Ovis aries: one gene and its partners. The protein of the gene in region 7 purifies or fractionates together with the protein of the main gene of each other region. This does not show direct contact. Links are inferred from orthologs where the notes say so. Each region holds a gene or a part of one and is shown on either strand. Other genes may lie near its edges.

Evidence for each region.
Region 1: the proteins of PPP2R2B (region 7) and PPP2R1B purify together in Homo sapiens (affinity purification with mass spectrometry; 4 studies listed by BioGRID and IntAct, with this or other methods). This does not show direct contact. The link is inferred for Ovis aries from reciprocal best matches to the Homo sapiens genes PPP2R2B and PPP2R1B.
Region 2: the proteins of PPP2R2B (region 7) and IER5 purify together in Homo sapiens (affinity purification with mass spectrometry; 4 studies listed by BioGRID and IntAct, with this or other methods). This does not show direct contact. The link is inferred for Ovis aries from reciprocal best matches to the Homo sapiens genes PPP2R2B and IER5.
Region 3: the proteins of PPP2R2B (region 7) and IQGAP1 purify together in Homo sapiens (co-immunoprecipitation; 3 studies listed by BioGRID and IntAct, with this or other methods). This does not show direct contact. The link is inferred for Ovis aries from reciprocal best matches to the Homo sapiens genes PPP2R2B and IQGAP1.
Region 4: the proteins of PPP2R2B (region 7) and PPME1 purify together in Homo sapiens (affinity purification with mass spectrometry; 3 studies listed by BioGRID and IntAct, with this or other methods). This does not show direct contact. The link is inferred for Ovis aries from reciprocal best matches to the Homo sapiens genes PPP2R2B and PPME1.
Region 5: the proteins of PPP2R2B (region 7) and PPP2CB purify together in Homo sapiens (affinity purification with mass spectrometry; 5 studies listed by BioGRID and IntAct, with this or other methods). This does not show direct contact. The link is inferred for Ovis aries from reciprocal best matches to the Homo sapiens genes PPP2R2B and PPP2CB.
Region 6: the proteins of PPP2R2B (region 7) and IER2 purify together in Homo sapiens (affinity purification with mass spectrometry; 3 studies listed by BioGRID and IntAct, with this or other methods). This does not show direct contact. The link is inferred for Ovis aries from reciprocal best matches to the Homo sapiens genes PPP2R2B and IER2.

Annotation. Positions count from the first base shown.
Region 1 is NC_056068.1:21,765,864-21,769,363, reverse strand, and holds part of PPP2R1B (serine/threonine-protein phosphatase 2A 65 kDa regulatory subunit A beta isoform), read left to right. Parts: intron 1-639; coding exon 640-754; intron 755-1,174; coding exon 1,175-1,245; intron 1,246-1,596; coding exon 1,597-1,731; intron 1,732-2,454; coding exon 2,455-2,628; intron 2,629-3,500. UniProt on the Homo sapiens protein: The PR65 subunit of protein phosphatase 2A serves as a scaffolding molecule to coordinate the assembly of the catalytic subunit and a variable regulatory B subunit.
Region 2 is NC_056065.1:61,598,587-61,602,419, forward strand, and holds IER5 (immediate early response gene 5 protein), read left to right. Parts: upstream 1-1,161; 5' UTR 1,162-1,384; coding exon 1,385-2,365; 3' UTR 2,366-3,333; downstream 3,334-3,833. UniProt on the Homo sapiens protein: Plays a role as a transcription factor. Mediates positive transcriptional regulation of several chaperone genes during the heat shock response in a HSF1-dependent manner. Mediates negative transcriptional regulation of CDC25B expression.
Region 3 is NC_056071.1:21,521,549-21,525,838, reverse strand, and holds the start of IQGAP1 (ras GTPase-activating-like protein IQGAP1), read left to right. Parts: upstream 1-1,490; 5' UTR 1,491-1,591; coding exon 1,592-1,646; intron 1,647-3,663; coding exon 3,664-3,763; intron 3,764-4,290. UniProt on the Homo sapiens protein: Plays a crucial role in regulating the dynamics and assembly of the actin cytoskeleton.
Region 4 is NC_056068.1:52,332,965-52,336,237, forward strand, and holds part of PPME1 (protein phosphatase methylesterase 1), read left to right. Parts: intron 1-109; coding exon 110-239; intron 240-1,080; coding exon 1,081-1,125; intron 1,126-1,323; exon of another isoform or gene 1,324-2,653; coding exon 2,654-2,718; exon of another isoform or gene 2,719-2,738; intron 2,739-3,273. UniProt on the Homo sapiens protein: Demethylates proteins that have been reversibly carboxymethylated. Demethylates PPP2CB (in vitro) and PPP2CA. Binding to PPP2CA displaces the manganese ion and inactivates the enzyme.
Region 5 is NC_056079.1:26,064,113-26,068,329, reverse strand, and holds the start of PPP2CB (serine/threonine-protein phosphatase 2A catalytic subunit beta isoform), read left to right. Parts: upstream 1-1,417; 5' UTR 1,418-1,767; coding exon 1,768-1,869; intron 1,870-4,217.
Region 6 is NC_056058.1:10,736,966-10,740,924, reverse strand, and holds the start of IER2 (immediate early response gene 2 protein), read left to right. Parts: upstream 1-1,159; 5' UTR 1,160-1,290; coding exon 1,291-1,965; 3' UTR 1,966-3,182; intron 3,183-3,959. UniProt on the Homo sapiens protein: DNA-binding protein that seems to act as a transcription factor. Involved in the regulation of neuronal differentiation, acts upon JNK-signaling pathway activation and plays a role in neurite outgrowth in hippocampal cells.
Region 7 is NC_056058.1:55,515,630-55,519,271, reverse strand, and holds the end of PPP2R2B (serine/threonine-protein phosphatase 2A 55 kDa regulatory subunit B beta isoform), read left to right. Parts: intron 1-2,422; coding exon 2,423-2,702; 3' UTR 2,703-3,142; downstream 3,143-3,642. UniProt on the Homo sapiens protein: The B regulatory subunit might modulate substrate selectivity and catalytic activity, and might also direct the localization of the catalytic enzyme to a particular subcellular compartment.

The DNA of each region.
Region 1 (3,500 bases), on a different chromosome or scaffold from region 7:
TTAAGTACTAAAAGGAAGAAAACCCTCAGAAACCCACAGATTTGCTGTCATAACCAAAAGTTTCTGAATTGGAAGTGCCTGAGGCAAAAATATACATAGACCTTCCTTGACTCATGATAGGGTTATGTCCTGAGAAACCCACTTCAGTTGGAAGTGCATTTAATGGACCTAACCTGCGAACGGCATAGCTTAGCCTCGCCTACTTTAAACTTTTAAAGGACACTTACATTAGCCTACAGTTGGGCAGAATACTCTAACAGAAAACCTGTTTTATAATAAAATGTGGAATAGCTCACGTAATTTATTCAATACTGGTACTTAAAGTGAAAAACAGAGTGGTTTTAAGTGTATCGGTTGTTCCCCGTTGTGATTCCATGGTTGACGGGAAGCTCTGGCCTCCCCACTCTGCCCAGCATCACAGGGGGTAGTGCTACATAGCACTAGCCCAGCAAAGGATCAAAATTCAAAACGTGAAATTTGGTTTCTAGTCAACGTGTATTGCTTTCACAACATCCTAAAGTTGAAGAATCTTCAGTTGAACGATCATAAGTTGGGGACTGTCTATACTTGATGATTGCATTGTGCTTGTTAAGTTATTTTGATTAGAGTGCATTAAAACCTGTACAAATTCTTTTATAGCTCCAGAAAGCTGTGGGTCCCAAAATCACCCTAAATGACCTCATCCCCGCCTTTCAGAACCTACTCAAAGACTGTGAAGCTGAAGTCCGAGCAGCTGCTGCCCATAAAGTAAAAGGTTAAGGTGTCAGTTTATGTTGTAACTAGATCACTTTGGTGCATTTTTTTATGTCAGTGAATTTTGTATTTTTTTTTTTTTTGGTCTTACAGATTATGTTTTCAGAAAAATAGTGATGATTTTAATGTGTTGAGATGTTAACATTGTCACATAAAGCTACTCCCTTATTTATTTAAAACCAAATAGCTTCTGTTTAAAAAAAAAGTATCCAATCCAGATTGGATTGGTGTGGTACACAGTGGCATATAGATTGACCAAAAGGTGCATTTAAAAGCAGCCATTTTTCTTCCTTGGAACTTATTTGCTTAAACATATGATTTGATTTAACTTGAAACTTGATAAATCTGGTTAAATTTCTTCATTTGGCTCCTTGTAAATGGCTCTACATAAGCATTTTTTTTTTCTCTTTGTATATTTTAGAACTTTGTGAGAACTTGCCTATGGAAGGTAGAGAGACCATGATTATGAATCAAATTCTGCCTTATATAAAGGTAAACCTAACTTTAGTTTATTTTTTGTTACACTTTGCCCTGTGTGAAGGTAAACCTGACCTCAATTTTTGTTTGTATTACTTTAAAGCTCTTTGAATTTAAACGTGGACCAGGGATGAATGGGACAGTTATATTAATGTGTGACACTGTTATTTATTACTTATTAATATTTTGTAAGTGCAAAATGCTCTTTTTTGCATAGGTTTATTTTATCTGACAGATGGTCTGAGGAAACTATTGACTAATCAGTATTGAAAGAGCGCTATCTTTTAAAATTCCTTGAGAAGTCATTTGGAAGTTTCTGTTGTCTTGCAAAAAAACTAAAGGCTTTTAATTTTGACTTTATTCTAGGAATTAGTGTCTGATACAAATCAACATGTCAAGTCGGCTCTAGCTTCTGTAATTATGGGGTTGTCTACCATTTTGGGCAAAGAGAATACCATTGAACATCTTCTACCTCTCTTTTTAGCTCAGTTAAAGGATGAGGTGAGTCTGGCTGTAAATTTTGTTGTCCTTTGATAGTCGGTGATTTGGTTTGGTTTTTGTTTGGGGTGTCACTGAAAAAGTAACTTATTTTAAACCATTGATGGCATTTGGGCACGGAGTTACAAGTTCCTGAGAAAATGGGCCACTGATACAGACGTAAAAATGGCTGTCCATCTTCTCTGCCTAATTCCTGATTATATTCACTGTTTTTTTCTTATCTTTAAACTTAATGGATCTTTATTTGAAAAGTTTCATTTAAATTTAGATATAATATTATAAAAATTATCTTGTTTGCCAGGCATGATCATCAGTGCTTTGCATGTGTTATTATTATGTGTAATTTTCACAGCAATCTTATTTTTGAGGGTTGGTCTTACTATTATTCCCATTTTACAGACGAAGAAGGTGAGGCACAGACGTAAAATAAGCCGCCTGAAGTTTCAGCTGGGTCGATATGGGATTTGAATACATGTAATTTGATTTCATAGCTTATGTGCTCTTTACATTTCATAGACTTTTCATTGAGAGTTTTAAGTCAATTAAATTGTGCAGTTTGAATTATTTATGTACTCAGTATTAAGTATTTCTTCCAAGACAATAGTTTTTTCATGCAAGTCAACACTTTCTCATTTTAAAATGTATTTGCTCATCATGGTGGTAGGAGAATATTGATCAGAGAACTTGATCTTTATATGTGCTGTTTTGGGTCTTGTGTATTTGCAGTGTCCTGAAGTTCGTTTGAACATCATCTCCAATTTGGACTGTGTAAATGAAGTGATTGGGATCCGGCAGCTCTCCCAGTCACTCCTCCCTGCCATAGTGGAGCTGGCTGAAGATGCCAAATGGAGGGTCCGGCTGGCCATCATCGAGTATATGCCACTGTTGGCGGGCCAGCTGGTGAGTGTGGGCGCTCTTGTGAGCTGAAGGATAGCATCACGTAGTGGAGCAGACTCCCCAGGGCCAGCAGGAGGCCCACATGGCTCATGTGGTTATGTTCATTTAGAGGCATGAGAAAGTATGGTCTCTGTCAGTTGCCTGTAGAGTGGTTTTCATTTTCATCAGTGCATTTGCATCTAACAAAAATGTATTATAAAAACACATTTCACCTCCCCACCATCTGAAAGCAAAGCCACAGAAGAATATATAATTTCTTGGTATATGTCACATAGATTTTGTGATACTTAATGACTCTGTGGCTTAAGGAATATTTATCTGAGAAGAAAGGGGAGTATGGTTTTGAGATTTGACTTTTGCTCAGGGAAGCTTCCCTCTCTGCCTGTACTCTGAGCAAATGTCTCTGGTTACCACTTTTCTTGCATTCTGGTTAAAGGGAGTTGAGGACTCCCCATATGAAAAAGGAGTATTGAAGTTTGTAATGCTGATATTTTGGCCAGAGTTTGTATTATCACATTATCTGTTACTGTTTGAGATTTATGAATAGTTTTATTGAAAACAAGTTAATTAAAATTTCAGTGCTGGGTTTTATAGCCACATCCTTTCCTTTCTCTTATAGCAGGTACCCTAGTCAGTTCTGAGTTTGGTGTGATGTGCCCTCATCATGGTGGCTGCACTTTATTATTAACTGTTAAAATCTAGATGAGGAGATAGACAGCTGATCTCTTTTTGGGCAGGGCTGTGTTCAGTGTTTTATTTCCAGGGCCTCCCATAGTGCCTGGCATTAATCAGGCACTTAACATTTGTTGATTGTTGAGAGAAATGAATACTTGACTAGTTTTTGAGAAAGCTCACAATGTGTCAGTTTATAGCTA
Region 2 (3,833 bases), on a different chromosome or scaffold from region 7:
TCTCTATTTGTACTTTTATGACATGTTAGTTTTTTTTTTCCCCAAGGGTGGATTGGTCAGTCCTCGTGTTGAAGAAAAATCGTTGTCAAGAATGTGAACCACCTTTCACTGTAGCTGATGTTACAACTGTATTGGTTCTAGAAACTAGAGAACAAAGTGATAAATACTAGCTTAAATAGAGAACCAAAAACTTTGTGCTGCTGCTGCTGCTGCTAAGTCGCTTCAGTCGTGTGCGACCCCATAGACGGCAGCCCATGAGGCTCCCCCGTCCCTGGGATTCTCCAGGCAAGAACACTGGAGTGGGTTGACATTTCCTTCTCCAATGCATGAAAGTGAAAGTGAAGTCGCTCAGTCGTGTCCGACTCTTAGCGACCCCATGGACTGCGGCCCACCAGGCTCCTCCGTCCATGGGATTTTCCAGGAGAGAGTGCTGGAGTGGGGTGCCATTGCCTTCTTTGTAGGTAGACACAAAAACTTTGTAGGTAGACACAAAACCTTCCTGAGTAGACAAAAACTTTGGAACTTTCAGAACCCCCGTTTTCTTTCTTCGGTGTTAAAATTGACAGGTACTAGAGTGTATGTGACTTTAGGAGGCAAGGGACTTATCCAAAATTAATATCTGCCAAATATCTTGTAGCACAAGTATGTTATCTAGGCGAATCCTGTGCCGCATTTTGCCTTCGTCTCCATTTCCGTTAGGTTGCGCGGAGCTTACAGGTGTATGTCGCCTTGGAAACGGTGGTGCGGGGTGGGAATGGGAGGAGAGCTGATCCAGGAAGGATCGAGGCTTTATTGCCGAACGAAGTCCACCACCATACTCGGATGAAAGTTCGAATGGTTTAGTTCGCTCTGGTTCCGGGAAGCAGCGCACAGGCCAGGCACCTTTAAGGACAAACAACACTGTAGCTGTCCCGTTCTCCGTATTACCGGGGCTCGCAGCACTGTCTCGGGCTAACAGCCTGCAGGCGGTCGCGCGCATCTCCCCCTTTAAGAACCTTCTCCGCGGGACTAACGTTCGAATAGCCCTGGCGCCCCTCCTCGGTCTCTGATTGGTCGCTCGAGGCGCACGAGGGCGCGCCGATGGCCCCGGAACGGTTGGCGGCCTCTCGCGATTGGCTGTCGAGAGGGCTTTATAAGGCGCCGGGCGGCCAGCTTGCCTTCAGTTAGCGACCGGACGCGAAACTGGCTGTGTTGCTGTAGTGGGGAGGGCGTGGAGGCTGGTGAGCGCGTCGTCAGAGCCGTTTCTCTTCGGGAGTCTTCACAGACCGAGGGTCCACCCCCCGTGGCGAACTTGTTGGCACTTCTTGTTCCCGTCTCAGCTTCGGAACGTGGGCTGGGGCTCACCCCCTCACCTCCGCGCCAGCCCTGGGAAGGAGGAGGTAGGATGGAGTTCAAACTGGAGGCTCACCGCATCGTCAGCATCTCCCTGGGCAAGATCTACAACTCGCGGGTCCAGCGCGGCGGCATCAAGCTGCACAAGAACCTCCTGGTCTCGCTGGTGCTCCGCAGCGCCCGCCAGGTCTACCTGAGCGACCCGTGCCCCGGCCTCTACCTGGCCGGCCACCCGGGGGCCCCAGCGCCGCCGCAGCAGCCCGAGGAGTCGGCGGCCGGGCCACCCGCAGGCTGGGGGGAGCCACCTCCGCCGGCCGGCCGTGCCGCCTGGCCGGAGCCCGAGCCTCAGCCAGAGCGCCCTGCCGTCCCAGAAGTGCCAAGGGCGGGTGACTCGGAGCCCGCGGCCACGGTGACGGCCGCCGGGGACACTCTTCAGGGCGGAGAGGCGGAGGCGCCGGAAGCTGCCTGGCGCCGCGTGGAGGGACCGCGAGAGACGGCGGTCGGAGGAGCCGGGGGTCCCGCCGAAGTCTCGGGGGTCTTCCCCGAAGGGCCCGAGGCAGCGCGCGGCCCCTGCGGCTGCCCCCCGGGGGATGAGGACAATCTGAGCGCGGCCCCTCGCGTGGACGGCTGCCGCGCGCCTCGCCCCGCTGCGGCTGAGCCCCCCGCGTCGCCCCCCGTCTGCGCCAGAAAGCGCGGCGCGGGGTGGGTGGGCGGCGGCCCCGCGGACTGCCCTGCGCCCGGCTCGACCCCGCTCAAGAAACCCCGCCGGAACTCAGAGGAGCAGCCGGGCGGGGCGGCGGCGGCCGCGGAGGAGGAGCAGGAGGAGGAGATGGAGACCGGTAACGTGGCTAACCTCATTAGCATCTTCGGTTCCAGCTTCTCGGGACTCTTACGGAAAAGCCCCGGGGGCGGCCGGGAGGAAGCGGAGGGAGAGGAGAGCGGTCCGGAAGCCGCCGAGCCCGGGCAGATCTGCTGCGATAAGCCGGTGCTGAGAGACATTAACCCTTGGAGCACTGCTATCGTGGCCTTCTGAGCCCCCGCGGTCCCAGTGCGGAGAGGAAGTTGAGCAGCGGGCGTCTCGACGTGAGGGCTGGGCCTCTCCCGGCGGCGAGGACGCCCCCGAGGCAGTCGGCGCCGGGCGCGAGGGGGTGCCGCCGGGCGGCACAGACTGCCCTTGGGCTTGGCGGCCGGCTGGGCCGAGCCTCTCGGTTCTCCTCTGGAGACTTCGGAGTGGGAGACTTATTGGAAGAGGACGGCGATCGTGGACTTTTGTGTCTGTATCTGTGTATGTCAGTTTGTCTCATTGAATTAAGGCTATTTTGTCCCTCTGGAGAGCGTCCCTTCCCCGCGGTTTAGACGATTGGGGCAGACAGGGACTTTCCTCTGCCGGCAGCGCCGAGAAGGAAGCAGCGAAAAAGGCCGGGGCCGGGGAGTTCCCCGTTCGCTCTCGGGGGAGGAAGGGACTTTACACACACCTCTTACATGAAAGCTAGAACCGCACCGAGGCCAGGAGCGGCGTTTCCTCCCAGGATTTCCTCGGACTAGAGGGATTTAGTCTGGAGTAGAGACTTGTATTATTTCTCTCCTTCCCCACTTTTCTCTGTCACTGAAGAAACGTTTATACCCTGTGATTACTCGGGGAAAGGGAGTGTTAGCGGCCCTTGTCTTCGTCACGGAGGGGAAAAAAGAGCTTGATGAACTTCACAGAAGAGTTCAAGCTTGGAAATACGGAGTTTATAGAGAAAAGATTTATTTTTTAAAAGCTCTAGATCAGAACTACTACACAGTGCTTTTAAAAAGTGTTTAAGGAAACAAAGTTTACAGACAGAAGCCCTAAGTGGAAAGGCCCTATGGTTTTGTAGATAGTAACTCCAGTCTTTGTTGTATAAAGGTTGGGGGAACTGACAAGGTTTTTGTACAGTATTTTCTCCTTCGTTGTATTGATTTTTGTATAAAAATGTAACTTTACGTGTCTAACACGTATTAAATATTTTGAAGCAACTTGACTGCCTCCTTGTGTGTAAATCGCCTGTCCAGGTTTCAAGGGAAGTGGGAGGAGAGCAACTATGGTCCGCCTGGAAAATTGAAGACGTGGTTCTTACTATCAGTTGTGCAGACTGGGGACATTGTTTGCGGGCTTCATTTATTATGGAGAGAGGCACATTTAAGCTTTCTCCCTCACATCAGAAGACTGCTGTTAGGTACTAGTATCAGTGGTCTGCCAGTTTATTGAAACCTGCCACTAAAACTCCCTTGTCTAAAGTCAATTTAGGCAATTTGATTTTTAGCCCAATCTGATAATGTCTAATATTAAATAAACTGTTTAAGTGCCAACTTCTGAGGCCCTTTCCATCCACAAAAGTGTCTTTCACTAAAACTTTTAGTTTCCTGTTATTAATAAAACCTGAGGGGAAACTGCCAAGACTGACATGGCCAGCTGGTCAGGTCTGCCTCTGCATTCCAGTGGATGTCAGGATGGAAATTTCAGTGCTTTAAAATTT
Region 3 (4,290 bases), on a different chromosome or scaffold from region 7:
GGACTAGCCTTTATACTAGATTTATCTTTTAAATCAGGCACCCAAATAGTTAATATTTTCAATAAGTCTTCAAAAAAGAGAGGTTGAGTCCTTGGGGCTGGATTTTTAAATTATATTTCATAAATCCAGATAATCTTAATCTTATAGTTATCCTATATTAGACTTTTTGTCAATTAACAGTGCCTAATTCTGCCAATGTAGGAGATGCCCGCTAGGGTCCTGGGTGGGGAAGATCCCCTGGAGGAGGAAATGGAAACTCACTCCAGTATTTTTGCCTGGAGAATTCCATGGACAGAGGAACCTGGTAGGCTACAGTCCATAGGGTCACAAAGAGTCGGACAAGACTGAGCGACTGGGCATACACAATAGGGATTATAACAGGAGCAGGGTCAGGGTTCGGCCGGTTAAAGTTTCTGCGGGATTCATAGGTTAAAATGTCCATTGAAGTGAAGTCACTCAGTCGTGTCCGCCTCTTTGTGACCCCATGGACGGTAACCTACCAGGCTCCGTGGTCCATGGGATTTTCCAGGCAAGAATACTGGAGTAGGTTGCCATTTCCTTCTCCAGGGGATCTTCCCAACCCAGGGATCGAACCTGGATCTCCTGCACTGCAGACAGACGCTTTACCGTCTGAGCCACATTACACAGCCGAAAATACTGAACTGGGGCTTCTAGGAAGTCTGATCTGAGATACAAATTTACGACTCTTCAGCAATTTAAGGTGAACGTGCATAAAGTTATTCAGAAAAAAGTGGGCAAGGGAAAAAACGGAAGAGTGCTGAGGCCAGAATTCCGTTGCATACCAATATTTTAAGGGCAGGCCACAAGTTGCAAGGAGAGGAGGCACTCCTAAAAAGGTAAAGAGTCCCCTAAAAAGAAGAACTTGCAAAAAACAGTGGCAATGAATCTAGCGGGAAGGAGATCTGGACAAACACAACTCTCCTGCTTTAGCATCCACTTCTCAGATACTAGAGGGGTTAAGCAGTTCAACTCCGGCGACAGCTGGCGAAGCTGGGAGACTTGTCTCGACTGCCAGCCTGTGCGGCCCCTTAGGGCAGTCTGGGTCCTGCATGTGTCCACAGGAACACACTGGGCCACTTCAAAGGAGGCCTTCCTTGAGCCCTTTGGTGCAGAAGAGTTTGATTAGGCGGGAAGGGGAACGGAAGATGCCCACGTTTTTTATGTCAGGCTACAGACACTGGCGGCATTTTGATAAGTGGCGCGGATCGGGCGGCGGCCGGGGAGGGCAAAGATCCAGGGCCGGGGCTGGTCTTCTCCGTCCAGAAGAGCTGCCAGCGAGAAGGGTCGGCGGGCAGGCTCCTCCTTCTTCCTTCCGCCTCCAGAGGGCTTTTTGGGTGCAGGGAGGGGGCCGGGGGCGGAGCCGGGAGGCACAGGCCCTGCCTCCTTCCGCCCTCTCCCGTCGGCGCGGCAGGGCGGGGACGCTGGGGCGGGGCCCGCGGGTGGGGCCGGCGGCGCGGGGCGGAGCCTCGGGGACCTGGGCAGCCCGCGCACTGTGCAGTAGCTGCCGCCGCCGCCGCCCGCGCCTCTAAGGTCTCTCCGCTTCCTGAGCAGAGACCCGGGCTCGGCCGCCATGTCCTCCACGGACGAGGTTGACGGACTGGGCGTGGCTCGGCCGCACTATGGCTGTGAGTGTGGGCTCCGCGGCGCAGGGGTCCCGGGGCGGGCTCGCCGTCCCCCCGGCGCCGTTTTCCCGGGGGGCTGGCCTGGCGGGTGGGACAGGGCGGCTGTGGGCCGTGCGGACCCGGAAGAGCCGATGCGACGGGGTGGCGGGTGGCGAGGCTCCCAGCCCGCGCCCCCTCGGTGTCCGAGGCGGCGGGGAGGACCCCGGCCGCCCCCACGCCTGGTCCCGGGCGCTGCGGCCGGAGGGCCCCACCCAGCGCCTCCCGCCGCCCAGCTCGACCGAGATTGGGGAGACGGCCTAGGGTGAGGTGGCAGGAGGACGGTGCAGGGCGTGTCCCGGGAACCGGAGCCCCGAGACGCGGGCTCTGCTCGGGCTTCGCGGGAAGGCGCTGCCCGAGCGCTGCCTGCGGGTACATCCAGGGTCCAGACCTGCCCGGCCCCAGGCTAGCTGAGAGGTGCGGCCCTGGGCAAGTCACTTCAGCTTTCTCGGGCTTAGTTCCCTCGACAGGATTTCAAAAGTGAAGACACAAAAAAGAAAAAAAGAAACATACCTCTGACTTCCTCATTTTCCGAATCTCATTTTCTGTCCCTGTCCTGGGACATCACTGAACTGCAGGTGGAATAGTTACCGCTGGCCAAAGGAGGGCCTTTTGGAGTCTTGAGGTTCCCGATTTTATTTGATATTCTGAGAATAGTGTTTTAGGCTAATTTCACTCGACAGTTCTGTGCCAGGTATTACGTCAAATTTGTGACATTAAAGCTGAGTAAGACCAGACCCTGCTTTCAAAGAACGTTTTAATTAGGGAGGCAGACAGGTGTAACTATCTAATGATAATAAGGAGGGATAGAGATAAAGGTGTCCTGTGAACCAACCAGGCTTAAAAGGTAATGTGGATGAAGAAGAGGGGTTTAGGGAAGGCAGTAGGAACACAGTTGGAACATTTGAACAGAGCCTTGCAGGATGCTGTGCAGTTTGACAGGGCAGGGTGGGGCAAGGCATGAGGGTGAAGCGGAAGAGAGTGAACTAAGTTATGGAAGAGAAGAGCGCTGTGTGTGTTGGCTCCTGAGTTGTGTGGAGTACACAGTAGTGTGGGGGGAAGAGTTAGCAAAAGTAGTTGCCGCTAAATTGGGAAAGGCATTGAATGCCAACCCCAATTAGGCATTTAGCACTTAGGCATTTTTTCTGTTTCCTGGATGCCCAAAAAGAAAGCAGGTTGCTTTGAAGTTAATCTTAGGGGCTTTTGAGACAGACCACCTGGGTTTGAATATAGGCTCCATCATTTATTAGCCTTGGGGCAAAGATCATGGAGCCTCAGTTTCCTCATTTGTAAAACATTTGATAATCACAGGATTGTTGTGGGGCTTCCATGGGAGAATGCATGTAAAAAGCACAGTACAATCACTGCCACTTAGGTCTCAGTGACTGCTGGCTTTAGTGATTAATAAAAAAGTGAAAAAGCACAAAGTGCTCTGGATTGAGAGTCTGGCAGATAGATTAGCGCAAATTTGGACCAAAATCTCAAGTCATATAGTACATATAGTACATGTTCATAATATTGGGGGCTTCCCAGGTTGCTCACCAGGTAGAGTCCACCTGCCAATGTAGGAGACATGGGTTCGATCCTCTGGGTCAGGAAGAGCCCCTGGAGAAGGAAATGGCAACCCATTTCAGTATTATTGCCTAGAGAATCCCATGGACAGAGGAGGCTGGTGGGCTACAGTCCCTGAGGTTGAAAGAGGGACAAGAGGGACAACTTAGCAACTGAACAACTGTAACAACTGTACAATATGTTATTGTATTTAAAAGTAAAATAATATTGTACTTTTAAATAGATACTAAGATGAGTATATAACAGTTGAAAAATGGTTCCTATCTAAGGAAAGTCATTATAGTCCACCTGGCTATCCACACGTTACCCTAACTCTCCAGGTGACCAGCAGGAATTTGATGCTGTGGCATTCTTTGATAGCTCAGGAAGGGTTACAGATTCTTGCGCTTACATTCTTTCTTTCATGTTTTAGCTGTCCTGGATAATGAGAGACTTACTGCAGAGGAGATGGATGAGAGGAGACGTCAGAATGTGGCCTACGAATACCTTTGTCATTTGGAAGAAGCAAAGAGGTAAAGATTGGCTGGAGAGAAGACTGGGAGAAAGGAGCTGATACTGTGTGAACAAAGATAAAGATCTCGTTGAGTATGTAGATGCGACTGTGGGAGGCAGGTTGTTTGAAGGAATAAGTAAGTATAGCTAGGATATTTTTTTCATAGGAGCAAGTAGCCTTGATGGTAGTTTTATCATGAAACAGTCTGATGGGCACTTTTGTTCAGTTTCTAAGTCATGTCCAGTGGGCGCTTACGTATACTGAAAATTTTCCTGGTTTGTGTTGTTCGGTTTTATGCTTATGGTGCATGTTTTGGGCACTACCAGCTATATGGGAGAAAAGCATTTTTAAGGTTTCAAGTTTGGGGCCTTAATGTTTCGCTGGTTCTTTACTAATTTTGCTTTATATGTGAATTGGGTCCGTTTTCCCCTTGGTAGTGCTCTGGGTGTAGCTCCATCCATTTGGCAATATTCAAAGACTGTTTACCAAAGGCAGTGTCATCTGCATTCTTCGTGAAGTTAATGTGCAACTGCTGTTTTCCATTTT
Region 4 (3,273 bases), on a different chromosome or scaffold from region 7:
CTTAATATGTGCTAATTCCTTTCCCTTTCCTTTTCCCAAAGCCCTAGTTTTTATCCTGTTCCTCCTGGGGTTGCCCTCAGAGACTCAAAACTTGCTCTTACTCCTCTAGACCAAGAAAGACCATCCATACACTTGGAGAATTGAACTGGCAAAAACAGAAAAATACTGGGATGGCTGGTTCCGAGGCTTATCCAATCTCTTTCTTAGTTGTCCTATTCCTAAATTGCTGCTCTTGGCTGGTAAGTGTGCATGTGTTATGTATTAGTCAGCCTGGGATGCCATAACAAGATACTGGGTGGCTTAAACGGTTCTGGAAGCTGTAAGTCTGAAATAAGGGCTCCAGCCTGTCAAGTTCTGCTGAGAGCTTTCTTACTGGCTTGCAAACAACCACCTTCTCACTGTGTTCTTATGTGGCAGAGCGCGCGAGAGCACCAGGCTTATCTTACGAGGGCCCTACCTTTGTGACCACATTTAACCTTCATTACTTCCTCATTTAACCTTAATTACCTTCATATCTCCAAATGTGTTCCCATTGTGAATTAGGATTTCATCATATACATTTTGGGGCGGGGGGACACAATTCAGTCTCTGGCAGTGTATGTATACTGTCATCTCAGTTATGTCTTTGTTAAAAGCGTTTACCATATGGGTAGCGACTTCCAAAGTGAAATACCATGCTTACTCATTTGTGCCCTTTCTCCTTCCTTTGACAAATCCATAACTAACTAAGCATGAGCATCCACCAGGGATGAGCTAATTCTGGCCTGGACTCTGTACCTGGTCAAACCCAAGTCCTTTTCCTTGAGTGGTATAAGGATATTCTGAGTAAAAAGGAAATTTAAAAAGTAAAGCCTGTTTTCAGAAAGCAGCTTAAACAAGCAAAGTGATTTTAGGGAACATCAGCCTCGAAAGCTTCATGTGATGAGACTATATACTCAGGAAGTTAGGATTGGCATTAACATGAATTGAGAATGTCATCCTGTTTACCACTTTGTAACAATTTTTACTTCATAACAGCAAAACCTATTTCATACAGCCTTTTCAAGTAAGCTACTTGTGGATTCTCTTATTTTATTCTAGGTGTTGATAGATTGGATAAAGATCTGACTATTGGCCAAATGCAAGGTAAGTTATGAAGAAATTACATTCCTAGGTCCCCTCAGGGCAGAGAAATGGGCAAAGTCATGTGGAAATTTTCTATCTAAAAATGGGAATTATATTACCACATAGACCTCAGAGTTGTAAGAATTAAAGTGATGCAGTGTCTTTGAAAGGGGCATTATAAAGTACTGTGTGCAGATATATTATGAAAGGAGATATTCTGAATACTAGACAGTATTTTTATTATTGTTAGAATTCTTAGGAAAAGGAAAGGTCCAAGATAACCCAAATACAAAAAGATACAAGTTCTGTTTAGAAGACAACATGATGAGGTGGTAAAAGCAAGGACTCTGCGGTTGGGAGAACTGTGTTTGAGTACTACTTCTTTCCTACTAATTTTTTTTCACCCTGGGCAGGTTACTTGACCTGCCTCAGCTTTAATTTTCTCAATTTGTAGAATGAGAAAATTGATGGCAGCCTGACAGGGATTGTGAGGTGTAATGAGTAGGAAAGTGACATGTGCTCAGGTTCAGATGTGTTGGCCAGATGACTATGGAGGCAGTGGAACCAATTTCATGGAAGCTCTTGGCTTTAGAGCAGATGAAAGGCTTAATGAAGGTGAAGTCACTAGGCATTGGCAACTTCGGGTTATATGAAAAAAGGTGCCAACTCCAGAGCCAAGGTTTCAGGCTTAAGCAGATTCTGTTCTTGACTTTCTTTCTTTTCTACTTACTCTCCCTGGGCAATCTCATGGTTCCCATTTACACCCTGATAACTTACAAAGCGATGTCTCACGGCCTTGATGACCGGGGATGGGTTCCATATTCTTTGGTCTCCTTAGAGATCTCTCTCTATCAGTCATCTCTGTCCACTCTTAATAAAATGATCACATTTGTTTGAGCTTACAGTGTTATACAGGACAGTGTGAAAAAGTGTTTAGTACTGTCTGGAACATAGTTAAGTAACTTATTATTGTAATAATAAATCTCAAAATCTTTAATTTACAAATCCCTTAATGATAAGGCCCCTGCTTACATCTCCAGCCTCATTGTTAACTCTGATGAGCACCATGCCAAAGTTTTTCTTCTTAGGAGCAAATACCATTTCATCCTCCGTTTCTTTGTGTAAGTTACTTTTTCTGTGTAGGAAGCCTTCCTGGATCCCTGTTTTATTGCAAAGACCCAATTCCTGTTTTTTTCCAGTTCTATGTGCTTAGTGTTAGCCTAGGAACTACATGCTGCATTAAAATCTGAGTTTTATATTTTGCTCTCCCACTAGACTATAGTGTAAACAGGAACTGTTTCTATGTGTCTGGCCCAAAGTAAACGCATATTAAGTAGGTGAAGAAGGAAGAAGTGAAGGGAAATGATTTGCTCAAGGTTACAATGTCAGGTATTACCATCTTCCTCACAGGCTTGTTAATTGGGTCCAGACTGTTGGGGTGGGGTGATGGGGAGGTCCTGGCCTGCTAACGTGACCTGTGAGGCTGCAAAGATGGTAAGGAGAGGGCCATTTTAGTCCTTGAGGTGGCTTTGGTTTATGTCTTCCCCAGGGAAGTTCCAGATGCAGGTCCTGCCCCAGTGTGGCCACGCAGTCCATGAGGATGCTCCAGACAAGGTGAGTCTGGTGCTGGATGCCTGTAAAAGGGCAACTGAGAGAGTAACTGTGAGTCTCATGGAAGACAGCATAAGCCTCTGAGTCAGCCTGTGGTGCTTGCAGCAGCTGCTGTGGGGCCTACACACATGCAGTCCCACCAGCCCCCCGGACCTCTCCCTGGCAGCTGCTTTTGGTCTTGCCCTTCTGTGTATGGGCTGAGGAGCTACTGGCGCCCTGCTGTTTTACCCAGGGCCCTGTGGTTAAAATGGAGAAAGGAATAGCAACCCACTCCAGTATTCTTGCTTGGAGAATCCCATGGACAGAGAGGAGCCTCCTCCATGGGGTTGTAAAGAGTTGGACATGATTGAGCGACTAACGCACTGTGGTTAAGATTGTAAGCTCTACTTCTCTATTATCCCCAAAGCCAGATGGAAGAAGAAATAACTGTGGTAGACACTGTTCCCTAAAACACACGCAGTTAGGAATTAATATGTGCTCTTCCTGTAGGAAAAAAGTGCTTTGTAACTCTACGGGGATAACTAAGCCTTCACATCATTCCTCTTGGCGTTTCTGGAG
Region 5 (4,217 bases), on a different chromosome or scaffold from region 7:
AGCTTTAAGAGCATTCTCTCACATTAATCTCAAACACATTTGCTTAGGAAGGACCTCCCTCCCTAAACACAATCTGTCCTTCCCATCTCTCCTCAAGGTATATTTTGATTCTCAATCCATCTTCTCCAGGAACTCCAAAAACACTATTCTTACTCTCATTTCATTCTGAGCTTGACAGGTTTAGCTGAAACTCAACCTTTCAACCTTTATAGACGAACCTCCTCGGAGACCGCAAATCTCCTGAATCACGGCAGGTATCCTGTTTGTTCAGTACTGTTTCGCCATCTTTTCACGTTCTGTCCTCAACTGCTTTGCTGCTATTTACAAGGCACTTGAGAACAGGAGCTTTCCAGCCATATTTCCCACCATATGACTGACTTCCGACGCTAGGAGTATTTATAGCTTCCCGAAAAGACCTCAGTCTTTCACACATTTGTCCTCTGCCACCGTCCAAAAAACAAATCGGTGTAATTTCTTTTCCCTTCTCCAGGCAACTTCAACGTTTTGCCCCGGGGAGAAAACCTTTCGGTAGCTGTTGCCTAGTAGGGATAGTAAGGCAAGGAACATGAGTTCCATTCTGTACTATCGGATAAGCTCTTGTAGAATTTAATCTTCACAACTTGAAAAGGCAGGCCTTACCGCACCTTTGCAACAAATGAGGACTCAGAGGCTGGGGGCAATCTGGTCATTGTCCAAGGACACAGCGAGGAGGTTGGCGATGCCAAGAGGGGGCTCTTGCCTTCTGATAAAGGATGCTGCCTGCCGCCACTTGTCTAGTAGAGGAAGTATGGTTGGTGACCACCTGCTCTCCAGGGTATCTGGCAGTTAGCAGTTGCTCGATGAACATTTGCTGAGTGAACAAATCAATAGAGCTCAGTAAACACTGCATAAATGTGGTGAAGAATGCTGGAGCTGGAAGGGACAACTGATTGATAATCACAGAGTAATCGATTCGTGTTTCTGATGCCTAAAGGGAGGATTCGAGATGTCGGTGCCCTACAGCTTGCTTAATGACAAAGCTAAGATATGGAAGAATTTACGTATGTATCTGTTTAATAGGTAATGAACGCCGGCTATGGGACAGTGCTAGACTCTGGGGAGACTATGTGGTCAAGGAGAAGCACAAGCTTCCCAGTTCTCTCTCCATAGCGCTAAAAAAGAAGAAGAAAAAAAAATTCTCAGAGAAAAGGACGTAAAGGGAAAAGCGAGGAGAGACTGGTCTGGACCCGAGTGGAGAAGTACGATACAAAAGGGAAAAGCGAGACAGCGGCGCGCCCGTCGGCCTGTTTCTCCGCCGCGCCACACGGGGCGCTGCAGGCCTTCTCGAGTCCCGGGCCCGGCGGCGCCGCCCGCTCGCCTTTTTTCCCGGCGGAAATGCCCGGGCGATGACGGAAAGCCGGAGGGAGGGGAGAGAAAGAGCGAGAGAGAAGGAGCCAGGGAGGCGAGAGCGGCTGGCGGGCGGCAGGCGGCGGGTGCCCATCCTCCGGCGGCAGCTGCGCGGAAGCCCCGCACGTCCCCGCGGCCTTCACCGACTCTCGGGGCGCGCGGGCCGGCGGGCCGGGGCGGGCGGGGGTCTCCCGGAGGCCGCGCGCTCGGAGCCGCCCGAGGGGCTTGGGCGGGGCGCGGGGTCCGCAGTGCCCGGCTCCTCCCTCCCCCGCCGGGAGCTGGGCGGCGGCGGCGGCGGCGGCGGGGGGCTAGGGGAGCGGCGCCCGGGGCGGGGGCGCGCGGGGGGCGGGAGGAGGCGGCGGCGGAGGGGCGGGGGCCGCCATGGACGACAAGGCGTTCACTAAGGACCTGGACCAGTGGGTCGAGCAGCTGAATGAGTGTAAACAGCTTAACGAGAACCAAGTCCGGACGCTGTGTGAAAAGGTGAGCGAGAAGAGGGGCGAGGTGCGGCCGGGGAGCTTCGGCTGGGTGCGGGGTGGGCGGTGCGGGGACCCCTCGTCTTTCCCCTCCCGGGCCGCCCGCCCGCCTTCATCCCGGCACCGGGTCCAGACGGAGCTGCGTCTCATGCTCGGCTTCAGCCCCTGGGCGGGGCCGGGCCTTTCCAGGACCCCTCTCGGGACACAGCCCTTGGTTAGGCCCGGACCCCCCCCCCCCCCCCGCACCGCCCCGGATCCAGACCTAAGGCGTCTGGGATGGGTGGGCGGGGGCTCCGTGACACCTGGAATTCATCACCCAAGTGTGATTGTGGGGTGACCGGCGCTCTAGTGAGGGTTGCTGACAACCCCAGCATTAACCCGGGCGGACTGGCAATCCCGAAGCTTCAGCCGCCAAGCAGATTAATCTCCTGCAGCCTCGTAATGGAAAGTGCACCGAAATGAGCCTGGGTGTTGTGAATTATCAACGCGCGTGGTAATAATAAACAGAGGCTTTTTCTCAGGTGACTCGGCCCTTCAAACATCGCTAATACTTGGTAACGCGTCAGGCATTTGTTTGTAGAGAGGTGGGTGTGATGGCAGACTGTGATTTTTTAAAATAGAAGTTGACTCTAGTTGAGACAGATGGTGGCTGGTCTTCACGTTGAGAGGCTCTTTGGAAGCAAAAATGTTTGATTTTTCAGAAACAAGACGGCAAGTCTTAAGTTTGGCAACAGTGCTTACCTGAAATGATAAGTGGGGTATGTGTTTCTCCTGAAGGGTAGCACTTTTCAGAAGGTTATTTCTGTTGCTGTTACATGTAAGGTTTTTTTTTCATTTCCAAAAAGTAATAAAATATGCAGGTGGTTTACTGTTTTCAGTCGCTCTTGATTGTGTGATCGTAGACAATCTTCTGAATTCTGTATCCATTTTTTTCTTAATCACTGGAATTATTTTGGACTTTACATTTTTTCTCATTCATCTTTTATAGCCTAGACTATTTTTATGTAAAAAGGTCTCGTGGAGGAGTAACAAAATTATTTATTCTTTAATGCTTTTGAATTGTTATTTATTTTTAAGCCATACTCCCTAAGACTTTCTTGATTTTGTTTGGAAAGCAGGATGCTTCAGAAAGGCATTGAAGGAAAGATTTTATTAATATTATTTATAGAGTACCCTTAAAATTAAATGTCTTAGGAATGGAAGAGTTAATGCTAAGTTTAAAATAGTGTTTTATTTTTTAAATTAAGTGTAACGTTGTTTTGGGTTTTTATGTACTAACAATTTTTTTTTAAAAGTATAATGTTGCATTTAAGTGTTCAACAAACTTGTTCAGCTATAAATACACAATATTCTTTTTCAGGTTCTTTTTCATTATAGGTTATTACGTGACATTGGGTATAGTTCTCTGTGCTATACAGAAGGTTCTTGTTTCTTTTACATAAAGTAGTGTGTATATGTTAATCGCAAACTGCTAATTTATCCCCTCCCCATCCCCTTTTGGTAACCCTTAGTTTGTTTTCTATGTCTGTGAGTCTACTAAATAGCTGTGTATTGATACAGGAGGATGTATTTCTGTAAATAGAACTACCAAAAAGTGGTATATTTGTGTTTCTGAGACAAATTGCTTATGGACTGCTTCAGGTTCTGGCTACATTCAATTTTCTTGTGTGATAACCTGTAATTTCACGTTTTAAGATTGATGTTTTAAATCGCTGTCTCTCTCAGGCTTGACTGTCGGGTGAAATACCCAGTTGTGAAATTAGCTGAGTCAGTTAACCTCTCTGTGACTAGTAGACATAGACTTTAAGTGGTGGGCAAAGTTGGTAGTTGAATCAGTTTTTCCCTCTGACTGTCTGATAATTTTAAGACGTCTTTCGGGAGAAGAATGTTGCACCCCTCCTCGATCACACTTGATCCTTCGTCACCTGAGCAAGCTTTCTGAATTTGTCCAGAGAGATTATTTTGACTTCAGCTCCTAAATAAGTTGAACTGCCAGTCCCTAGTTTCTTTGAGGTATATTTAAGCTTATATCTTACCTACTTTTTTCTCTGAATATTTGTACTTTTCCACCAAACACGAATTTTTAAGTGGCAGTGCTTTGTCATTTATCTTTATCCTCTGCTTTTGCCAGGGATGTGGAGGGCTGGAGCAGAGTGGCGTGCCCCCCGCAGCCCCTACCCTTCTCAGCGGTGCTTAGTGTGGAGCCCCTTGCCAGCAGCTGTGGCAAACCTTTGTGGTGTTGATTTTCTGTCATCTAACCTTACAGCTCCATTTTACTTCCCTACCTCTGCCCTCCTTTTTCCTGCTGAGTGCAGCATTTGTTTATAATGGCCAGCCTGCGTTCAGACCCTGGCT
Region 6 (3,959 bases), about 45 Mb from region 7:
TGGCGGGAAGGTTCGCGCACCGGTGTGGAGGGGGCGGGGGAGCTTGCCCTTAAAGAGCCCGCACTACGAATGAAGGGAGCTGTTCGAACAATTTCGCGGTTTTTCAGGAACTGGAAATAATATTTCTTGCAATCTTAGTGCGTAGCAGAAGGTGGGGCTGATGTTTTCTATCTATCTGCTCTATCTCTGTTTCCAAGTCCTAATCCAACTCCGCCTCCCCGGGAGCAGAGGCGGAGCTCGGCTGCGTCGTTTAGGGGGCCACAGCCACGTGTTCACTCGTCCTGTGTTGCTGCCGGGTCCTCCGCCTTAGGGCATGGACGCCCACGGTGGATTTCGCGAGGAGGGAAACTGAGAGGGATGTTGGATGCGGAGCACAGAGACTGTAGCTTAGGCTGCGCTCTTGTCTGCAGACATCCACCTCCCGTGAAGTGGACAACTTTGCCCTAGACCCAGGCGGTGTGTCCCGCCTTCTTACCGCCTCCAAACAAGGGGAGTGAGGAGGGTGGGCGGAGGCTGGCAAGACAAGAGTGCTGGAGACTCCACTGGTCCCCTTTCACCGCAGTGGCTCAAGTATTCGTTTAGCAAATATTGGACGAGTCACTCGCCTAAAGAAGTAAGATACAACTACTCTACGAGTGGAAGAGAGAGATCAATGAGATGTTTATGATAGGAAAGCCTTTAGCGCCTGGCACTTAGCAAGTGCTTAATAATTGTTAGCACCATTGTTGATTTTTTAAAAACACGTTAATTAGGCTCCTGGTGGATGGTAGACAGTTTCCACCGGGGATCTACCGTTTGGAACTCAAGTTTTCTCAGGTGCGAAGGTGCAGCCTAGGACCCGCTGGGGTCTCCAGACACAACCGGTGGGTGGGCCCTGAGCACCACCCACGGCCCTCGCCCCCCGCCCCCCGCGGCCTGCGCGCGGGTTCAGTGAGGGGCCCGGAAAAAGCAGACCACCCCGAGAGTTCAGCTTGGACTGGGGGACGCTTCTCCTCACAGGAGTTCGGGTCCCTTTTCTCTCAGTAAATCCCACTCTGTCGCTTTAAGGAGTCTCTCGGCGAGGCGTCGCGGAAAGCCCGGATGCGGCTCTCTGATTGGGCGGGGCGTCTCGGTGACTTCACTCCTGGTACAAAAGGGCCCGGGTGGCGGGCGCCCGGGCAGAGCGTCCTGGCAGTGTCTCCGCGTGGCTTGTCCTGCTGAGAGTGGCGTGAACGAGCGCGTTGTCCGAAGTGCACCTGCCACCTGCCGTTCCCAGCCGGGAGTCCCTGCCGCCCTCGCCCTCGAGCAGCTATGGAAGTGCAGAAGGAGGCGCAACGGATCATGACCCTGTCGGTGTGGAAGATGTACCATTCACGCATGCAGCGCGGTGGCTTGCGGCTGCACCGGAGCCTGCAGCTGTCGCTGGTCATGCGCAGCGCCCGGGAGCTCTACCTCTCGGCCAAGGTGGAAGCCCAGGAACCCGAGGTGCCCTTGCCGGCTGTCCGCTCCCCTGATCCTCGCCTGCACCCTCCTCGGGAAGCGGAAGCCGCAGCCAAGGCAGCGACCGGCAACGGCGAGCAGCCCTCTCCGGAACCCATGGACACCCAGGAGGCACCGAGAGCCAAGGAGAGCCCTGCCCGCTGTGTCCAGCTCCCCGCCAAAATCAGCCGCAAGCGGCGGAGCAGCAGCCTTAGCGATGGTGCGGACGCCGCTCTGGTCCCGAGCAAGAAAGCCCGCTTAGAAGAAGAGGAGGAGGAGGAAGGGGCGTCTTCGGAGGTCCTTGATCGCCTGCAGCCCGCTCCGGCGCAAGCGGAGGGCGCCTTCCCCAACCTGGCGCGCGTCCTGCAGAGGCGCTTCTCCGGCCTCCTGAACTGCAGTCCTGTTGCCAGCCCTCCGACGGCGTCCCCGGCGTGCGAGGCGAAGCCGGCTTGCCGCCCGGCCGACAACATGCTCAACGTCCTGGTGCGGGCCGTGGTGGCCTTCTGAGGGTTCCAGGGCGGCGCTACCGGAGCCCAGAGCGCCGAACCGTCGGCCAGAGTACGCAGACCCGAGGCGAGGCCCACCCCCGGGGGAGCGCTCGCGAAAGCCGTGGAGAGGAGCAGTCGCCCGGGCTGCCCAGAGGCCCCGAGAGGGACTCTGCCCCCGGGGAGCCGTCGCTACCTGTGTGGAGCGGCGACGCCGAGGAGCCCGAGCCGGAGGCGCGGGCGCCTTCCCCCCAGACCTGCTGTTCCCATCGGTGCTGTTTTAACGGACTGGGAGGTGAACCTCACCGACTCCTGGAACTGGGAGAAGGGAGGCTTGGTTCTTGAAACTCCTCAGGGTCGGACTTTTTTTTTTAAACTGGGGGCTATGCTGCCCTTTCAATAAGGTTTTTCAATCGTCGGTGTTTGCGTTTCTAACTTCAGAGAATTCCAGGCACTCCCCTTCCCCCTCCAGTGACATACTTGTGCAAGCGGTCATCGTTGCGTCATGGGGCAGACGTGGGGAGCTTCCTGCTGCCGTGCGTGGGTGGGGGCCGGGAGGAGGACCTGGGGTGTGGACCGCCCTGGGGAATGGGAGGAGGGCGGCCTGAGTCACTGCGCCTTTCTGCGGGTTATTGCCCGAAGCCCCTACGCCTCCGGAGGTAGAGGGCTGATCTAATTTCATTTTAAAATTTTTTCTCATGTGGTGCGTTAGAGGTGGGAATATTGTTCACCGTCTCAAGCTTGACCCACAGAAACGATCAACCCGGACGTTCCTGGTCTGAATCACAAAAATGGGGGTAGCGCTGTAGGGCTGAGCTGGGATCAGTGGCGGGCGAGACTGGCCAGTTTGGGGGAGGCGGGAGATTCTCTCTCGCCAGGGCATTTTGGGTTTCTGTTTGCCTTTACTGGTGGATTCTGGTAACTCCCTCTATCTGGCCTTTTTGCTAGAATCGCCAGATAGGAAAATAAAGACCAATTGTATACAAAGTCTGTGCAGCCTGTCTGGTTTTCTTCCCTGGTGGGGGAGGGGCAGGGTTAAAGGGTCAAGAGCTGGCGGCGGCTTGCTGGGGCCCCAGAAACCGGTCTGACCGCTACCACGTGGGCAGAGTGGGCGGGAAGGGGCCGACCCCTTTTCTTTGCCAGAGCGCTTTCGTGCTGGGCGCCTGGCGCTCCGACCTTTTCTTAAACGTCGCACGTTTGGCGGGATCTTGGACACACACCCCCTCCCTACAACTCTGGGTGAGAAGGCTTTCCGAGTTCAGATGTTTGGGGGATACTGCTGGGTACAGTGACCCTAGCCGACTTGGGTATCAGGCCTCCTTTGGAGAATGGAAGGATAGCTACCCTCCCCCCACTTGATTAACTGAATCGGCAGGGTTCCCAGGATTGGGGTGGGGCTGGACTGGTGAGCTTTGGAGCGCCCTTTACGCCCAGTTCCAGTCTCGGGCAGCGTAACTGTGTGGTTCAGGCAAGGACCTGAGCTTCCAGCCTCAGTTTCCTCATACGCGGAATGGGCCCCAGCAACTTCCCTTCGAGACTGTGGGTTTAGAAATACCCGCGGGAGCACTCGTTGACTTTGGCCCCACCCCATCCCCAGGTTCGCCACCCCGAGAGAAAACCCTGACAATTTCCCCAACGCCAGTTCAGGAGAGTGACAGTCGGGGTTGCCCCAGGGGGTGGGGGCGGGGGCTGTGGGGAGGACAAAGGAGCCGCAGGTGCGGGGAGTGAAGGCGGGGGCAGGCGCCGGGAAAGCTCCCGCCCCGCCTCCAGACGGCCGGCCCCGCCACTGCGGGCTTCCTGAGACCCGGGGGACCTGACCCCGAGGTCGGAGGGGAGGAGGAGGAGGGCGAGGTGGAGGGGCGGCCCTGCCCCAGAACGCCCGCCCCTGGCTCCCCTCCAGGCTCGTTCACCCACCGCACCCCCCTTCCCTGTGTCCATCAGCCTCCTCCCTCCTAACCCCACCTCCCACCCTTCACCCCAAGGGAACCTCGCCTCCTCCGCAGCCTTCCCTCCCGG
Region 7 (3,642 bases):
AGAATCGGCCCTGAGGCCTGGCAGGGCTGCACCATGTGGCCCAGCAGGTGACCTCGGGGTCAAGTCTGGAAAGGAACAGGTGATGGGTAAGATCCTGGACTCCTCTTTCAGAACTGGATCAGGTGACCCTTTAACCTCACAAAAATCCTACCTTATACAGGCAAGACCCTCCCAGAGCTGGGTCCATGCACCTAAAATGAAGCTCCCCTGGCAAATTTTGAGGATGAACCATTCCAATGACTGTAAAGTGTACTGTCTGGATGGGAAATTATCCCTCGAACTGCCAGCAGGGACTGGCCTAAGGCCTGGTGGTCATGAACTGAATTCTCATCAGCCTCATTTATTCTGTGCCCTCAAAGGGATTTATGACTATTTGAGGCCTTTGGTTTCAACAGTACTTCCTATTACCTCCCTGCAGTTTCTTTTTGGCTTGACGAATAGATGCTGCTGTGATTTCCAGAAGCCAGCCCAGGCTACCAGGGGGGCTGTTCCTTAGTGAAGGCAGCACCAGCAGTCCTACTGAAAAGCAGGGAAATTCTATCACTGCAAAGCATTCAGAAGGGTGAGCTTCTAGTGAGCACAGGCTCTACCTCTCTGACCCCTGTTGGGTTTTTTGGGCCAGTGATCCAAAACCAGCCTTCCACTCAGCAGGCCTAGAAGGAGTCACCACATGGTAGACAACCCAGATCACACCACCCAGTTGGTGGAGGCCAGAGGGCCCAGAGCAAAGCAACTGTTACTTAGTTGAACAAAGACCCTCAGAGGAAAAGTAGCTATCCCTGCCCTGTTATTTTAATTTCCATCGGTAATTTATTCATTGTTCATTATGAATAGATTTTTTTAATATTTGTGGTTCTTTTTGTTCAAGTTCCCCTTCTATCTGAACCAAGACTCAAAACCTATACCTACTAGGTACTTTCACACATCATGATTTTTTAATCCTGACCACCATCCATCAAAATTACTTTCACTGTCCCCATTTTACAGCTGAGGAAACTGAGACTCAGCCGGATACTAGTTCAGGAGTTTGGGCAGATCACAGTAAGTAGTAGAGACAAGAGGAAGAATTTAAATCCTAAAATGAACATTCTTTCCACCACATTACAGATTCTTTCCATAACCGAGAAAATGTTATTTTTGGTCCAGATAAGATTGAGATTACTTTTTTTTTTTCCCCAAAAAAAGACTTTCTCCTACGGTTTAAAAACAAGTCGGGTGGTGGTAATGGAAGCAGAGGTCAGTGCGTGGGAAGCAATAAGGCCAAATGGCTTAATGCTTGTGCTCCAGCATCTGGCAGATGTGGGCTGGAGGCCCAACTTGGCTACTTACTGGCTGTGTGACACCATACATGCACTCACTTTTCCTCCTGTGTAAACCCCTTAACATGGAATGATGGAAAAGGAAATGAGGCTAGGGGTAAAGCACCCAGCACCCCCACGTGATGAGATGATAATTGCTCACCCTATTTCATGGCATCGGTTTCCCAGGCCAGGGTAACAAAATCTAGCCCTTGATTAATTTCCGGGACAACTAACAAATACCCAAAAACTCAGCCCCCTGGCCAGGGCTCAGTCCTGTCAGTTTTCCTTCACCTTCCTCTAGCCCAAGACAACGAGATGCAAAGTTCTCCCATCCTAACCAGCCAGTTGGTGCCTTACCCACAAATAAGGCCAAGCCCACCTCTCTGGGGGTCAGCCATAAGAGGGTGCTGCTTGAGGGACATTATGTTTCCCTTGGCCTGTCACCATTAAGTAGAGTTGGTTCATGGCTTCTGAGAGGCTCTTGGCACCCCCTGCTCTCTTTATCAATGAGAGATACTCCTGAGAATGGATAGCTCTTGTAGGAAAGTAGGCAACCATCTGTAAGTCCACTACAAAGGCTTATTTCCTCATCCTACATCCTTTTAAAATTCTAATTTTTGTTTACTCCCTCCCAAGACCAAGATGAGATCCATTTTTTAGATAAGTTTTCAGAAAAGGCAGAATTTCGATCTAGTTTATAGCGGGAAGAGGGCACGATGTCAGCATCCCTCAGTGCTGATGCCAGAAAGCCTTATCAGTCGAGCAGCACCGTCACTCCTACGACCGCCAGGCTCTAAACGAACACGATACAAGGACGGCTATTTTCAGCATTCCTATTCTCATGACTTGACTGCAGCCTCAGAATCCTGATGTGAAGGAGGTGGGCTGGGATCCTTAAAACCACTAGACTGACTTATGGAACAAAATAATCTAAAGGAATCTATTGATAAATAGCAAGGAGGGCTATCATCACCCTTCACCCAGCCCAAGAGCTTGCTTTCCTTAGTGCTTCTAAAGTCAGTGGTCACACTACAAAGCCTGCTGCGGTGTTCGGTCTCTTAGCTGTAGAAAGTCTACGTCTACGGCACTCAGTCACTCCCTGTTTCCTCTCTGCCTTGCAGCGTCATCATGACAGGCTCCTACAACAACTTTTTCAGGATGTTTGACCGCAACACCAAACGCGATGTCACCCTTGAGGCCTCGAGGGAAAACAGCAAACCCCGAGCTATCCTAAAACCACGCAAAGTGTGCGTGGGGGGCAAGCGGAGAAAAGATGAGATCAGTGTCGACAGTCTGGACTTTAGCAAAAAGATCTTGCATACAGCTTGGCATCCTTCAGAAAATATTATAGCAGTGGCGGCTACAAATAACCTATATATATTCCAGGACAAGGTTAACTAGGAGGACAAGTTATTACTTAATAATCTCACATACTGAATACTAGTCAAACACGTTTTTAAATGTTTCTTTGGGTGTTCATTTGATGCATCGACTTTAATTTCCCTCTGCAGGAGACAATTGGAATAGAAGTCCATGGAGTCCAACCTTCCCACATCCCCAGTTCTAAGAAACTTTTGTCAAACCCAGTAGGTTCTGGGACACTTCTGTTTAGAATTGAGAGCTGCCAGCTAACAGTAACTCTTCCATAGTTGACTTGAATTTCTGATGCTTTTATTGCCCCGTTTGCTCTGGTGGGTCCAGTGTTTTGTTTCTAGGTGTCTGCTGAGATAAAATGAGGTTGTCTGTAGTATTTAAAGAGAAAAGAGATAAGTTTTTTTTAATTAAGCAATTCCATTTGATTGAAAAAAAACTCAATGAAAAATAAACACTGTTTACTCTTAGAGAAATTCTCCTTGTTTTTTGACAAATCAGAACCAGTCAGCACCCCCCTGCTCCTACAGCACTTTTTTTTTTCCCATTTTCTTTTTCATGATTTCGCTTGAGCCAGAGATTTATTTCACGAGGCTGCGAAGAGGATGCAGAATGGGAAGGGGAAAGGACCACATCAACAATGCTATATTCTTTTTTCGTAAGTGCCATAGAAACAGCCTGAGAATTTGGCCAGGAAACCCCATGAATGCTTCAGGGGACATCAAGAGAACACATCGCTTCTCAGAGTTAGCTTGGCAGGGCCCTGTGGGGCCACATTCCATCTGTCGCTTTATTGCTCTTGCTTTTTGTCATTTTAAATGGCTCCATATAATCCTCTACTTACACGTTCCTTGGCTTTTTCCCTTCACCCTTTTCCAGCTTATTTATTCCCTTGACTTCTAAAGGCCAAGTCCTTGTTGTTTATGATCTGGCTCCTAAATGCAGCAGTAAGCTGATGGGCTGGGGCACC